Linked DNA regions of Arabidopsis thaliana. The protein of the gene in region 4 interacts with the protein of the main gene of each other region in a pairwise test. Each region holds a gene or a part of one and is shown on either strand. Other genes may lie near its edges. The genes, in order: AT1G14340, AT3G43230, PRA1.B2 and AT1G67865.

Region 1 (3,835 bases), about 21 Mb from region 4:
TAAAACACGTTGTAGTCTTGTTGTAGATCTCCGAATTGACGTCAACTCAATATCAAAATCTTTCACTATGAAATTCAAAATCCGAATCAAAACGTCTAACCTAGCTATAGAATATATACATTAGTCAATGGTCAACCTTTTATATTTTATTGTTATAATCATATATGGTGAAGATAATTGTATTTGGAGGACCAATATTCAACTATTTCCTGTAATTTAGAACATTTATTTTTTTCTTAAATATATGTTTTTTGCTTATATATAGTCGCAATTTTTAGAAGTTCCATAATCCATATACTTGAACTTCTAAAGCTATAGTCGCAAGCACCTTATTGTTGTTGTTTAATAAAAGTTCTAATTTTGGTAGACAAGTGAAAAAACAAAATTAAACTATCTGGTGTTTACATATATGAAAAATATACATTTCCAGCAGTGAATTTTGGTTTTGCATGAAAAATACATAAATAGCAATTCACTGCAGCAGGGGTCAGAATATAGAAACATGAACCACACACATAAAAAAAAAGTAGATTCTGACTAGATCAATCTGAATTAAAAACTAGTAAATTTTGACAGACGGACGTGGCCGTGGAAAGAAGTAGAAAGAGACAATGAGAGATGGAGAAAGAGAGACGTAAGTATTGATTTGGCCAACGGCTCATATGCAAAGAATATTAATAATAATAATGTTCTTTGCGTTTTTTTACCAATTACATCAAACATTTGTTAGGCACACGTCTTTTCTTTTTCTCCTTTTTAGTTAAGGGCATCTCCATCCATGAAAAACCCACAAAGTTTCTCAAACAAAAAAAAATTAATATTATATTATAATTTGATTTTTTGATTAAAAAAATATTTTTATTAAAAAGTTGAATCAATAATTAAAAGGGAATTATCATGATGGATTGTAGAGAATATCTCAGAGTTTCTCAAGTAAGAAACTTTCTACTCTCTCTCCTTCATTTTTATTATTTTTATTTTTTAATTGTGAGAAACTCTTATAAAAAACCCCCAATGAAAATGGTCTAACTTTCTTTTCCGTTGAATTTCTCTCATGTATTAACAGTAACATAAGTATTTATATCACATACACTTGTCAAATTTGTCTCTTTAGAGATTTTAAAAAGTTATCACTTAGAGAACTTTTACCTGTTTGGACTTTGGACGGTTAGACAGATAATATCTAAAATTACTCCAATTTTTATATATACATGCAATACTAAGGTATAAAAAAGGTTCTAGAATGTTAAAATCGTTGCTGAAAAAAAACAAAATCGTCTATAGATTGTTAATTTTTGCTTCTTGTACAAACACTTAGTAATGATTAATGATTTAATTTTAATATGTAAAGACTGATTTTTAAAATAAAAAATAGCATAAGATGAAAATTTATGTTTCAAAAAATATTTGTGATTATGGGTTGTTTGAGACTGGAAAATAATCAAACAACATTGGGCCTTTCATGTAGAATTTTTTATTACATTTAGAACCGTTAACGATATGGGCTAACTCAAGACATTAAAGGCCCAACATTGAGTTACTAAACGGCGCAGTTTTTAGCTTTTTAAAATTGCGTCTTTTTCGTTCACTGAAAAGGTAGTCCTTCTCTTTCCCACTCACATCATCAACTTCATCAATTCATCACCTTTGTCTCTCTTTCAAGCTTCTCTGTGTGTGATCTCCGTTGGTCAACAACAACTACAACAGGTAACTTCTATTCTTCGATTCCTTAAATTTCTTCTCTAGAGCTTAGTGAATCAACGATTTAGGTCTGAACATATTTGGCAATCTGTCCTTGCTCAAATTTCGCTTGAAAATTTCAATCCCAAATCATGTAAAGCTAAATCGGAAAGTTCTATGTAGTTCCCAAAGTTGAATCACGAACTGGAAGTAATTTAATTTATTGACTTAGGATATGTTGAAATTTTTAGGTTTTTTGTTTTGTTTTTAGCTTATTGAGCAGAGATGGATCATCAATTTGGATATGGTGTTGAAGTTACTGGGTTATCTCCATCTGTTACTCATAATGATCTTATCGATTTCTTCTCTTTCTCTGGTACTATCCAAGATATTGATATTGTCAGGTGAGTCTTTTTACTTTTTAGCAAGTTTGTTGTTTGTTTGCTTATTCTGGATTCAAAAGAGTACACTTTGTAATGTTGTTAATGAGACTAGGTCGGGTGAGCAAGCTTGTACTGCTTATGTGATGTTTAAGGATTCTTATTCTCAAGAAACTGCTGTTTTACTCACTGTAAGTGTTAGTTTGGATTTGATTCACTCTTTCTATCTTTTTTGGATGTCTCTTGAGAAATCACTCACTTCTTTGATATCTTCAGGGCGCAACGATATTGGATCAGCGTGTTTGTATAACTCGTTGGGGACAACATCACGAAGAGTTCGATTTCTGGAATGCGACTTCGCGAGGTTTTGAAGATGAATCGGACTCACAAGTATGTATCGCTTTTGACACTTCTCTCAACTTTGATCTTTCTGTCTTCTTTTTTTGTTAAAATAGTTAAATCTAACGGTCACTGGTTCAGTAGTCTTTATGTTGAAGTTTGATGCTTGGTCTCAATTCTAAAGCTTATTCGTTCTTCAATCATGTAGCATTATGCTCAACGAAGCGAGTTCAACGCTGGAGAAGCAGTGACAAAAGCTCAAGAAGTGGTGAAAATAATGCTTGCCACAGGATTCGTGCTAGGCAAAGACGCTTTAAGCAAAGCTAAAGCCTTTGATGAATCCCACGGCGTATCAGCTGCAGCGGTGGCTAGAGTATCTCAACTAGAACAGAGGATTGGTCTTACTGACAAAATCTTTACCGGACTTGAAGCTGTTAGAATGACTGACCAAAGGTATCATGTTTCAGATACAGCTAAATCAGCTGTCTTTGCCACAGGAAGAACCGCGGCAGCAGCTGCAACTAGTGTTGTCAATAGCAGTTACTTCTCCAGCGGAGCTCTTTGGCTGTCTGGTGCATTAGAGAGAGCTGCTAAAGCCGCATCTGATCTCGGTACCCGCGGCTCAAGGCAGTGAATAGACCAATGGCCCGATTCAGAACCGTATTCGTCTGTGAATATATATGATGCAAAGCTGATCATGAATAACTGGCTCATGAAGTGTGATAAGACCAAATTTTATCAAAACGAATACCATATAGAAATCTATCAAAGTATACTCTCACATGATGATGCTGATATAGAGTTTGGTTACATTACCTACATCTTAACTCTTCATTAGTAGCATAATCTTTTTTCTTATATAATTTCTGATTTATATCATTCTATGGTTGATATTGATTCAATATTTGGATAGATGTTGTATCCATAGAGCTTAGGCCACGTGGCACAATTTGCGCCAAAAAATCAAATCCAAAAAACAGAGAAGTCATCATCTTTTCACTCCAAATCTTCCAGTCACTCAAATCATTCTCTCATGGCAGCTTCTTCCTCAATTCCGCCGTCAACCGCCGTAACCTCCGTCGTTCGCAAATCTCTCCTCCTCTCAACCACCTTCTCCTTCCCCGCTTCTTCATTGTCTCCCTCCACGAAACTACCACAAAGACACATTCAAAGATTGCTCCTAGCTTCCTCCTCCGCATCCGCATCCACCGTTCCTTCCGATTCCAAACCGGCGAAGAAAGAAACAGTCTACTTCGACGGCGGAGCTCATTACGGAGATCTATTAGCCAATCTCATTCTAGGTCTAACCATCCTTTGGCTCCCACTAACCTTAGCTGCAGTGTCTCGAGCTTTTAACCTTCGTTACAGGTTCACTAACCTCCGCGTGACGGTTATTTCGGGACTCACCGGAGATGATCGGAGCGATTTCTCGTACA
Region 2 (5,032 bases), on a different chromosome or scaffold from region 4:
TGTGTACACGGTTAATAACGCCTTGTTTGTTAACGCGCTTTGGTTTGGTTTGGTTGAAACAGTAGCACAGCTGGTGACTGGGTGAACTGTGGATCATGTGGAGAGTGGGCTCATTTCGGATGTGACAGAAGGCCTGGCCTCGGCGCCTTCAAGGTAACTAAACGAACACATCGTAAACTCGTAATAAGCATCAATGAATAATATGTGTACTGATGCAACATATGATATATACAGGACTATGCAAAAACAGATGGGTTGGAATATGTGTGCCCAAATTGTAGTGTCTCAAATTACAGGAAGAAGTCTCAGAAGACCTCCAACGGTGGCTTGCTTGTACCTTAGCTTTGTACCTTAGGTTCATGTTTCTTCTTTTGTTGTACTTTTGCCTTGGAACCAAATGATTGATTGATTCCTCTAATGTTTCACGAGTTTTTTTGCAATGCAAGGTTTTTTTTCTTTCCATTATCTTTATAATGAATCGGAGAATGTAAAAATAGTGAACGTTATAGATTTTGCATCATATTTAAGGGACTTGCCAATATCATTTTATCTGTAACAAATGAATAGACATGCAAATAGAACCAAGCTTTGATAAACAAGCTTCAAAAAGGTAAACAAGCTTTGATAAAATAAGTAAATCCCAAATCGTTCACACAGTTTGGGGAAGCAACTGTTTGGTTCTAGAGAGAAACAATTTATGTACATTTACACTTTAATAGAAACGAATTTGAGAAGCGTATATATACAAAGCGTAGTTTGTAATGTGAATGGAGATTACGGGCGCAAACGAGCATAGAGCTCTCGGAGGGCGGTGTACAACGGTTCAGCTGCCTTGGGTTGATCCACCATCCCAAGTAGAATGTCCGATGTGGATAGGTATGGATCACCATAGAACTTTACATTCATGTCCCTTCTTGTTGCCACCAGATTTCCTTCTAGAGATACTCCCACAAATGCCCCTGTTCACACAACACAACAACTTCTCTCAGGTTATAGATTTACATTTCAACTTCCTCTGTATTATTGAGCTACGAGTCTGGCCAAATTATAGATAAAGAGAAAACTTAAGGCATGAAGTTGAGATGGGGAAAACCTTTGCTGCGGCTGTAAGTATAGCAGACACCAGAGCCTTTGTCACCAGCTCGAAGGTCAGCCTCCAACACTCTCCCGATAGGCCCTGCTGCTGCACTGCATCCCGCGCCTAGAGAGAAGTGCATTCTGCTGCAGAATGTCTTCACGGCTTTCACATCATGAAGCACTATTATGAAGTCCATCAACTCACCTCCAATCTGACAAAAAGAGTACAAATCTTCTTATGTGGCTATTGAAAACGCATCTTTAACTCTAACATGCATGTCTTGAATGGAAAAGATGAAGTTTACCTGTGCACCCCATCCAAGACCTACTGATAGTATGGCAGATGGAGCAGACCATGACCCGTCTGGTCTCCGAGATATTACCAGACCAGTCCCGAGTTTGTATGACAGTAAAGCCCCAGCCTTGGCAACCGTTATGATTGCCAAACCTTTAGCTCGACTAAGAACAGCATGCGGTATGGATTTCTCAGGGTCTAGTCTTGCTACCTGTGTAATTCGGTAACTAATTAAACAGACACTTACAAACATGGAATGTGCACCGTAACATTTGATACTCAATTTTCTCTACTCGAACATCTCTACAGAACAAATATGTACTTGAAAAAACAAAGGATGAGAATCAAACCTGGCAGTAACCTCTCAACGTATTAGCAGCCTTGTATATCTCATCTTCCATGGATAGACCAACAGGGAGATTCAACCATCCTCTTGAGCAAGTCCAATCAACAACATCATGCTTTGCAACTTGCACAGCATTACTAATAGAGTTAATAAGAACACATTGCAAAGGATCAAGCCTCTCGTAGCAAGAATCACACACTCTCTGAGGATTCCTTTCCCGAAACCGACTAGGCATCAAACACCGCCCTTTCGAACAGTTTCTACAAAATATCCCTCCGCAGAACCGACAATGATGCCTACCACACGTAATTGCAGTAAAAGGAGTAGAACACTGCATGCAAGTACTAGCTAAACTATCAGGTAGCCACTCAGGAGGTTCAGCTTCAAGCAACTCCTTGTAAACACTATAGTTTATCCCACTAGGTTCAAGTAGAGGCGGAGCACTCGGTATGTAAACAGACGAATGAACAAAAGTATCCCCGTTCGTGCCAGAGCCAAGAAACGAAACATTCGAAGACGGGTTTTTCTGATCTAACGGATTCTTATTCCGTCCAGTAACAATAGCAATCAACCCAGTTAAAACGTTTTTCAAGTTAACTTCAGGTTTCTCATTTCCTTGAATCGGCGGCGTCGTCGTTGTAGAGAGCTCGCCGGATGAATCATATCCGTCGTCAACGTAATCTCCTGAGTCGATAATCGGATACTCCACCTCTTTCTTTGTGGGGATTGATTGAACAGACCATTTAGGTCCATCTTCATAACCACCACCACTACCACTACCACTACCATCATCATCATCATCATCATCATCATAATCATCATACTTGAATTTGATGTTTTCTTCAGAATACGGAGAAGCTTTTCCGTTGAGAGTAGCCATGCCTTAAAAAATGAAACTTCACTAAAATTGAAAAATCTGCAAAAGTAGAACATATATTTATATCAAAACGCAGATTTTCGAAGACCTAATCAATCAATCAATCAAAAGTTTCTAATAAAACTACATAACTATTGAAACCCTAATAAAGAAGCCGTAGCTTTGATTTGAATTCGAATCGGAAGACGAGGAATTACAAAAATCACAGAGAATCTTGGGAACTACAAAATCAAAAGATTTAATTTCAGGAATCGATAGGAGAAAATACCTGTGGTTTGATCGCGAAGAAACGAATTAGGTTAAGAAAATTTTGCAAATCCGATTTATGGGATTGAAGAAGAAGATAAGTAGCAAGCAACAAGAACACGGCGCCTCGGGGAATATTTTATTCCATTTATTTCGGTTTTCCGGTAAGCAAGTCATTATAGACTTCGTATATATGTGAGGGCCCAATGGGCCTTGAGCCTTTCAATATTTTTTTGGCTATTGCTTGAAACGATTCAAAAAGTGAATATTTGATAAATTAATTTACTTGGTAATCACTACATGTTTATATACTTATTAGAAAGTTAGAAGTTAGACCATAGTGATATCGGCTCAAGTTCTCTGTCTTTTTTTCATGCGGTCTATCTTTGTAAAGCCATTTTAAGTATGTTTAAGAGGCTGGCCTCTGGTTTCTTGCATGTGTCGTGTGGGGTCGTTTATTGCATGCATGTCGGTATTAGAGCACACATAAAATCCAAACTATTATCTTTATAAACGCTCATCCAAACCCATGTAATTAGGTTATCTAGCAAGTAGTCTCTCACATATATAGTTATGTTTGTGAGCATTGTGATTAACCTAGAGAGTTGTCATTTGGAACAACTCTCCTTCTTCATCATTTTGTGAAATCAAATATAAAGTGTTAGTGTTTTTTGGTGAAAAACCTAAAGCTTCTTTCTTTCTCTTCTTTATATTTCGATAAAAGGTCATTGAGCTATTGTATTTTCAATCTTAGATTTCTATGTTAATAAGCTCATTTGAGCATAAACCATTCATGTTTTAGAAATGTCTTCATGGTATCAGAGCCTAGGCGATTGATTTGGGTCTTATTTTCACAAGCTTCTAGCTTCCGCTCTTCTGGTTTTGCGTTTCTTGGCGTCAGAGCTTGTGAATGAAAACGCCAAGGTGTTGCAAACGTCGCTATTCTCCATTGGATGATGTGAATAGAGAATGCTCCAAACTAAAAGACATTTGCGACAAAGAAGAGGCAAAGTATAAATATCACATATCGTGTTTTCAAGCCCTTTCTATCTCAATCCCATCAAGTAACCACAACAACACTATTCAAGGTAATGAATTTGTCCTTTCATCTGAGACAGAACAAAGGTTATTGATGGGTTGAGAAAAAAAAGAGGGAAACATGGCTAGAGATATAGGGTTAGATCATGAGAGTAGTCATTTGTTTAGTGATTCCGCTGGTGGCTTAGATTTATAGACGTGGAATTTAAGAAGCTAGAATGCAACATAACTTACTTGGGTTTGATAAGGATGTGTTTAAGGGAGCAAGTTTCTGGTTTTGCTGAGCGCATAGAAGCTGTTTGATAAAATGTCAAAGAGAAAAACAGATTGTGTAAATGCAAATTGTGGTTGGCTAAAGAATAAAAAGCAGATAGCAAGTAGGATCTAAGTAGTTGTGGGAAGAGAATTCTTCTTCTTCATGGGACAGCTTAGGGGAGTTAAACCAGATAAAGAAAACTCGGTTTCTTCGTGAGACAAATAGGTCAAAAGAACCTGAAAAGTTGTCACACTAAAGACTGATTTTATGGTGAAGAGATGCTACTATCTACATCCAAGTGATCTTGCTTTGTCTACTCATGCTCTTGTCAAGTCATCTCCATTTGTGCTGACATTTCATTTGAAGTTCAAACTTGTCATGTTGCTTTCGCACCACGCCAAGTTTGCGGAGAAATATTAGAGCACACATAAAGCCCAAGCTATTATCTATATAGAAGCCCATACAAGCACATGTAATTAGGTTATCTAGCAAGTAGTCTCTCATATATATAGTCATGTATTGTGAACATTGTGATTAACCTAGAGAGTTGTCATTTGGAACAACTCTCCTCCTTCACCATTTTATGAAATCAAATCTGAAGTGTTAGTGTTCTTGGTAACAAACCTAAAGCTTCTTCCTTTCTCATCTTTACATTTCAATAAAGCTCATTGAACTATTGTAGTTTTAATCTTAGATTTTTATGTTAATAAGCTCATTTGAGCATAAACCATTCATGTTTTAGAAATGTCTTTAGTCGGGTGTCCTTGAATGAACCAAACTTTGCATTGTTGCTTTGCTGCGTGGATTGATCTTGACCCTGTTATAATAAATAATAATATGAAGGAACCAGCAACGCCATGGAGAACAACCTATTTATCTAAGGAAAAGCTCACTAAG
Region 3 (3,562 bases), on a different chromosome or scaffold from region 4:
TACACATGGACATTAAATTTCCTTTCCATAGAGAAAGAGGAGGAAGAGTTTGAAGCCAAGCAAACGCATCAGGTGTGTCACAAGAAGCCATTAGAGCTAATATTGAATATCTAGTTGTTGTTCTAGATATGTGTGGTATAGAGAGTATATGATTAGAAGACTAGATTTATCATTTATATATAGAGAGAACATTTTAATGAGTGGAAGAAAAGTAAAGGAAGAAAGATTCGCTTATTTTTTTCAAAAGGTAAGCTAAACAAAATCATGAACTATTTTACGTAAACCAGAAAATATAGAGCTACGCACGAACACGAGACGTCTCTTTAGTAAAATATTGAAAATTTGAAATGTGATAATGATTAAGAGTCCTGCAAATTATGAGATAACGTACAAGGAAAAAGGTTTAGATGATAATTAGAGTAGCTAGACCGTTAAGAGGGATGTAATTAAATTGATAAAGTACGTGCTATTCAAGATTCTTCCATATGTGGATTTCAACCCGAATTTCCAAGAAATATTCTTGATTAGGCCGACGAATATTGTTATTCGATGCCTCTATTCTACTCAATAATGTTTCTTCGTCTTTATTTAGTTTACTAATTATATGTTTGATACATAAATAAATACGAATTATGGAGTGTGTTTGTATATACATAAATACGAATACGAATTATGGAGTGTGTTCAAATAATTATACATAAATAAATAAATACGAATTATGAATTATATACAAATATAAATTATATACACTTGAAGCCTGACGATTACAATAGCAGCTGATCATTATCTTCGGGGTGAATTCAAATTATGGATTGTGTTTGATTTCCTCAAGTCTTAATTTTCATCTACTTTTCAAACGACTAATTAATAGTGGCTACATAACTAACGACTCGATGATAAACACTCCAAAAAGCAATCAATCACTTGAGCAAAAGTTCAAAAGAAAACACTCCAAAAAGCAAACGCAAACACCAAACAAAACAAAACTCAAGTAGAGTTTTAGATAAAGCAACAGTAGAATTTTAGAAAAACCAAATTAAAACACCAAGTGTTTATGCCAAATAAATTGGCTAGACGAAGCAAAACAAGAACACATTATTGATAGTGTAGATTTGGAGTTCACTAATTGATAGTGCAACGTTTGAGTTCAACATTGCCTAGGCTGAGTGAGAATATCTTATTGTTTCCATCCACGAATTTGAGAAAGTAACTACATGTTACCTTTACCTTCTTGTTATTCTCGTCAACCTCATTTATCTCGGTCATCTCAACATGAACAAGTTCCGCAAACCTCCATTTGTTTTCATTATCTCATTTTGATTGTCCCAATCATGTCAAACTCATCTTTTATCGCTTGCACCCCCTTCTTCATGTAGTCTCCACCACCGGTTGCATAGGCGTCTTTAAAAATGCTCTCGAGTTCCCTCCAGTTGTCTTTGCCCCAAGTTCCTGGTGTCTCAAGACACCATAATTCATATATAACTCATAATTCATATTTATTTATGTATATAATTTGTATTTGTATATAATTCATAATTTGTTTAGCTTCAAGTGTACATAATTTGTATATAATTTAATTTCACAGTTTATAGATATATTTAGTAAACCTTTATCATTCATGATCAATTGATCATATGATTGTTTCATTTGTTCAACGAGAACACTCATAGGGTGGGAAATGAGATGATAATTATTGAAATGATCATATAAACAATTGTAGGAAGTCGTAATTTATCTGCAAATAAAATTAGAATATTATTAACTACACTAATTTACTAGTTTGTGTTGTGTTATCCTTGTAACATCATATAGATACAAACCACTGAACCAGTAAGATTGTTTGTTTGTTGAAAAAAAAAAAATGGTTTTATGAACCAATAGTGGAATATATTGGGCCTCTTCCAACATTATAGACCCATCTAAAAATTGCTATTAACTCCAACTTAATATATTGGGCCTATTCCAAAACATTATAGGCCCATAAAATTTAGGCCTTTAGAATATCTAACACGGTTTTGCCGCAACTTCAGTTTCCACTAAAATCGGAACAACAAATTCACACTCTCTCCGCCGCGCACAGACTCACCGACACCACCAATAATGTCTTCTTCTCCGGCGATTCTTCCCGTCACCAACCAGCAAGCAGCCACTCAATCTCAACCTCCAATCAATTCTCACGCCTTCCGTACTTTCCTCTCACGCCTCTCGTCCTCTCTCCGCGAAAGCCTCTCTCAACGCCGTCCATGGCTAGAACTCGTAGATCGGAGCTCCTTCGCTAGACCTGACTCTCTCACCGATTCCTTCTCCCGGATCCGTAAGAATCTCGCTTACTTCAAAGTCAATTACTCCGCAATTGTCTCGTTAGTCCTTGCTTTCTCCCTCCTCTCGCATCCATTCTCGCTTCTCGTCCTCCTCTCTCTCTTAGGCTCCTGGATGTTTCTCTACCTCTTCCGATCTTCAGATCAGCCTTTGGTTCTCTTTGGTCGTAGTTTCTCAGATCGTGAGACTTTGCTTGGTCTTGTTTTGACTACGATTGTGGTTGTGTTTATGACGAGTGTTGGATCTTTGTTAACATCGGCGTTAACGATTGGAATCGCGATTGTTTGCTTACATGGTGCGTTTAGGGTTCCTGATGATTTGTTCTTGGATGAACAAGAGCCTGCTAATGCTGGTTTACTCTCGTTCATTGGTAATTCTGCTGCTACTTCTGCTGCTGCTTCTGTTGTTGCAGGACGAGTTTGAGAAGCTCGAATTTGATGATTCTGATCCTAGAGAACAAACGAAACCTGGATTCTCAGGGTTTTTAGTTATGTTTTGAGTATAGATTCGATGAAGATCTGTAAGTGTTAGATCTAAAGATGCATTGTTGTGTTGTATTCTTCAATTTCGTCACAATTTAGAAAATTTGGAGCTGATCCTTCTCAAGTATTGTAAGATCTCATTTACCTTAAATCAATTTGATACTCTTTGCCTTCATCACCATATGTTTGAGTTAGATTTAGACTAAACCAGTGAAGATTATAGTTTGACCAAAGTATTAAGGATTAAACAAACAACATGTAGTTTAACAACATACGTGGTAGATGTAAATCTTGTAACTAGTTATGTCTATGTCTCTCTAGCTACCAACTATTTTATTCTTCCACAAGTTTCCTCTATCTCGAAAGCGAACAGCCAATACTGTGTACGAATTTGCTGATAGTAAGAGGGTTATATCATGGGAAAGTTTCCCACTGGATTTACATGTTTGGCCAATTTGACAAAAACGACACACGTTTAGTTTGGGGATTTTGTCTTAAAAACTCGGCTGCCAAAAACAAACTGAAGATTCGGTCACCTGAATTGTCTTTTTCGGTCAAAGTCTCACTGAGTTGCTTCTTTCTTAGATATAATATAGGTGACCTGTTTTTAATCTTCATAACATGAGATATATTTTCGTGGAATGAGTTGTGTCTTGTGAAATCTTTTTTCTTTGGTTTTAATGTTAAGAATGTCTTGTGAAATCTTTTCCTGGATTCTAATTATTGGTGAGAATGTGAGATAAAAACAACACTTAGGTACT
Region 4 (3,930 bases):
AAAAGTGTAATAATCTAACTATTCAACTTAGACTCCATAACGCTGTAAATTGCAAGAAAACATTTCTATTAGTATTAAGTTCAAGAATTAGTCTAGACTTTGGATTTAGGAAGACTCTGATTATTGGAAAAAAAAAAAACATTGCTTGTGTAAGGTTCGTTTGATTTTTGAGATAAAAGTGTAGACAACTCTATCAATGACATTCATGGAATTCTTCAAGAAATTCGACAGCTTCAAGGTTGTTTCCGTTCTATCTCCTTTAGTTATATTTCTCGTCTTTCCAATTCAAAAGGCAGACGCTGTCGCCAAATATGCTATCTGTGTTTGTGTTTCCCTCAAGAACATTGCATAACTGAAAAGGCTAATCGAATCAACAAAAAATCCTATGATCCGTCTAATTTAGTAAATGAATTACTTGTTTGAATCAAATCTATGAGCTTAAAGTTTTGGTCGATAAATGCAAAATAAATTATCTAATTATTTAGATGAACCAGAAACATTAAAACGACATATCCTACTGCACTACGTAACTTATAAATTCATTAGGGTTTTCGTTACACCATAACGTTACTTTTCAAACTTAATTGTGTGCAAATAAATTCAATCTTTTCACGTGTGGAAATAACTGTTAATATACATCACTTTTATTAAACACACTCCTTTTATTAATCATAAAGTTCATAAAATTAAACAAGAAGACTTTTCATTAAAAGTCTCCTATATTTTTGGTAAGATACTGAAACATGTCCATCTTATACATACATCGTATACATTTATTATTTTGGATACATAATCATTACTGGGTGTGGTCAGGAGTCCTTTACTCCCTGTCTTTCTGGCGGCGGCCGCCGGAGTTCTCGGATGCCTTCACTGCACCGCCATTACCATTGCCGTAGTTTCCCGGACTCGTCATATTGTTGTTCTCGAAGCGACCGGTGCTCTGATAATTATTGGGCCATATCCCGACCCCTTTGGCAAACCCATCGACCGTTCCAAGAATCCCTCCGGTAATCCCTCCGGCAACCCCAATAATAAGCTTATCAAGCATTTTTCTTTATATTTATCTACTTGTGTTAGTTTTCTTTGATATGGATAAGTGTTTTAATCTTTCAGATGTTTTCTATATATAGAAAAAATTTCTTGTATATAGTTCCCTTTTTTATGATCTGAATCTTATTCTCTTAGTACCATCACTACCGAAAGTTGAATAGATATGTTTGTTCTAATTCCGTTCGTCGTTTTTAATAATGATCACATGGGAAAGATCCAAACTAAGGAGGTTTCTGTCTACGGACACGTTTTCTTTAAAAAATCAGACCCTATAGACCCTCAAAAATAGATGTTGTATGTGTATCAACTAATGTTTAGTCCAAAAAGGCATGTTTTGACAGCAATACTAGTAACGAACATTAGAAAAGATGTGTGGATAAGTTTAGTGTAAGGCCCATCTCCTTCGTGGAATGGTCTCTTCAATCGTTATGATGGAAATTGCATCTAATGCTTGCAAAGTTTGAAGAGTCTCTCTTAACCAAGTGATAGCGGATTCTCATTGTTGGTCTAGTCCATGAAAAGAATTTCCTTAAACGTGGAATTATCTAACTATCCCGCTTAGCCACTCGTCGACGCTTTCAGTGGCAATAAAACTCATATTAATACTTGGCTCAGGAATTAGTTTGGACTTCGGTCGACAAAGACCTAGTCCCGATTATTAAAAAAAAAACGTTAATGACAGTGTAAAGTTTATTTTAAAAAACAGATTTCTATGAGGTAAAAGAAGAAAATGTTATTCCCTTTGGAGATTATTCGAAATATCATCGTACGATCATATGAATCTTATTCTCTTTTCTACCACGAAAGTTGAATAGTCATGTTTGTTCTAATTCCGTTCGTCTTTTAAATTAAAGATCAGTCCTATTCATATGGGAACATTTCGGAATTGGCTGAGTATTAATGGAAGCATAATAATGAAACTGGAAATTAAACCTAGTCTAGTTCTATTTATTACGGATTTTATTTGATTTTATATTAAATTTGTTTGAGTTAAAATTTTCATTCATTTTTGGATTTCGACGAAGCGTTGTGTAACTTTTTTTTTTTTTTTTTTGTTCTTTGCTAATAGCCACGTAACGTGCATGACATGAGTAAGCCGGCCACGTTAGCGAAAAGTGGGAAGTAACACAAGAAGTCTAAAGACCATGGGATATTCAATGGTGAGGGTTAAAAAATACCGAGATTAAGTAGGAAGAAGATGAGGAAAGAAGACTTGTGTTAGAATATTGGAGACAAACCAATGATCCTTAGACGAAGCAAAGAAGAGAACCTCCAAGAGAAGTAACGGTGATTGTGGTGACCGTAGGGATTACTTTCAGCTTTGGTAACCATAAGTAAAATGATGATAAATTCAATTTGGATAGAAAAATACACCACTTAAGTAGCATCCCACATCAATCCACGAAACTGAAAAGATCAAAACATTTGCTATTAAAGGAACTATTCCAAAAATTTAGTGAAACGTGCCTAACATAACACATATACAACCGATAATCCGATATGTACTTTGAAAATCGGAGGAAGCCCACCAAATATACCAGAAAGTTGGCTAGATCTCATCAAGTAAATGCAAGATGGTTGTCACCATGATGATGGTGTTAGAAATCATAAAATATGTAAATATTTTTAACATGTTCATCCATCAGTTGAGCCACGGTCAATCTGGGTCGATCCTGACAGCCCTATAACTCGGAAGATAGCTTGGTTCGCTGTCCATGTCAGGTGTCAGGTTAATAATCATTGGATCAGGCTGAATTGGATATCTTTCTATTATTTCTTCTTTCTTATTCCAGGTTTGGGCCAAATGTTCTTGGAAGATTAAAACTAGAGACGCACGGTTCAATATATATTCAACAAGTAGAAGGAAAAATAACTTTGTAAAATATAAAGAGGTGGGCCAATGGGTTTAGAGGAGAGTTGCCAACGTATATATTCCCATATAAAGAAAGAGAGAACGGTAAACGATAACTACTATTGGTTATTCAGTCGAACTAGATGCCTTTAATAATTGATCAAATTGGCGTGTTTTGACCGCAACATTATCAAAGAACATACGAAAATATGCGTGGATATGGTCAATGTTAGGTTCATCTCCGTTGTGCAATGGCCTCCCTCTTCAATCGTTACGATGGAAATTGCTTCTAATGCGCAAATTTTAGAGTCTCTCTTAACCAAGTGGCGGTTTTGTGTTGTTGAGGATTCATTTTATGGGTCTAAAAAAATAATAAAAATCGCCTCAAACGTGAACTTATCTAACTTTCTTGCTTAGCCATCCGTCATCTCGAAACTCATATTTTTATTGGACTCAGGAATAGACTTGGTCTAAAAAGACCAGATTATAAAATGTAATTAAAAATCATTATTGACAATGTAGAAGTTCATTTTTTTAATCAACAGTTTTTTTTTTTTGATTAAACGATGTAAAGTTTTTTTTCTTCACAGTGTAAAACATTAGTTATTACAAACGGAATCCAAGAATGTGAAGTTTATTTTAAAACAGATGTTTTTTTTCTTTTTTTTTTGGAGGTGAAAGAAGTTATAAATTACTTATAAGTTATAAATTCACTACTGCACCACTTACTTATAGGTTATAAATTCACTAGGGTTTTTATTACACCACAATGTTACTTTTAACTTAATTTTGTGCAATATAATCACCCCTTCCACGTGGGGAAATCAACTGATAATATACATCACTTTTATTAAACATAAGCAGCAACAACAACACTCTTTAGAAATCATAAGGTCATCAAACGAAAGCACTTTTTTGGGATAAAAGCCACCTATTTAGTTTTGGTACGATACAGAAACATGTCCATCACACACATACATCTTATAAATGTATTATTTGGGTACATAATCATTACTTTCTTATTTGAA

Evidence for each region.
Region 1: the proteins of AT1G67865 (region 4) and AT1G14340 interact in a two-hybrid assay, tested with the Arabidopsis thaliana proteins (one large-scale study listed by BioGRID).
Region 2: the proteins of AT1G67865 (region 4) and AT3G43230 interact in a two-hybrid assay, tested with the Arabidopsis thaliana proteins (one large-scale study listed by BioGRID).
Region 3: the proteins of AT1G67865 (region 4) and PRA1.B2 interact in a two-hybrid assay, tested with the Arabidopsis thaliana proteins (one large-scale study listed by BioGRID).

Annotation. Positions count from the first base shown.
Region 1 is NC_003070.9:4,895,744-4,899,578, forward strand, and holds AT1G14340 (RNA-binding (RRM/RBD/RNP motifs) family protein), read left to right. Parts: upstream 1-1,602; 5' UTR 1,603-1,707; intron 1,708-1,951; 5' UTR 1,952-1,965; coding exon 1,966-2,084; intron 2,085-2,175; coding exon 2,176-2,251; intron 2,252-2,336; coding exon 2,337-2,450; intron 2,451-2,607; coding exon 2,608-3,033; 3' UTR 3,034-3,292; downstream 3,293-3,835. Other genes in the region: AT1G14345 (NAD(P)-linked oxidoreductase superfamily protein), read left to right, coding at 3,433-3,835.
Region 2 is NC_003074.8:15,205,342-15,210,373, reverse strand, and holds AT3G43230 (RING/FYVE/PHD-type zinc finger family protein), read right to left. Parts: upstream 3,008-5,032; 5' UTR 2,864-3,007; intron 2,635-2,863; 5' UTR 2,599-2,634; coding exon 1,723-2,598; intron 1,584-1,722; coding exon 1,383-1,583; intron 1,290-1,382; coding exon 1,094-1,289; intron 960-1,093; coding exon 775-959; 3' UTR 521-774; downstream 1-520. Other genes in the region: AT3G43240 (ARID/BRIGHT DNA-binding domain-containing protein), read left to right, coding at 63-153, 235-342.
Region 3 is NC_003071.7:16,863,914-16,867,475, reverse strand, and holds PRA1.B2 (prenylated RAB acceptor 1.B2), read left to right. Parts: upstream 1-1,888; 5' UTR 1,889-2,100; coding exon 2,101-2,742; 3' UTR 2,743-3,030; downstream 3,031-3,562. Other genes in the region: AT2G40390 (neuronal PAS domain protein), read right to left, coding at 1-91. UniProt on the Arabidopsis thaliana protein: May be involved in both secretory and endocytic intracellular trafficking in the endosomal/prevacuolar compartments.
Region 4 is NC_003070.9:25,445,640-25,449,569, forward strand, and holds AT1G67865 (uncharacterized protein), read right to left. Parts: upstream 1,984-3,930; 5' UTR 1,870-1,983; intron 1,314-1,869; exon of another isoform or gene 1,216-1,313; 5' UTR 1,049-1,215; coding exon 821-1,048; 3' UTR 538-820; downstream 1-537.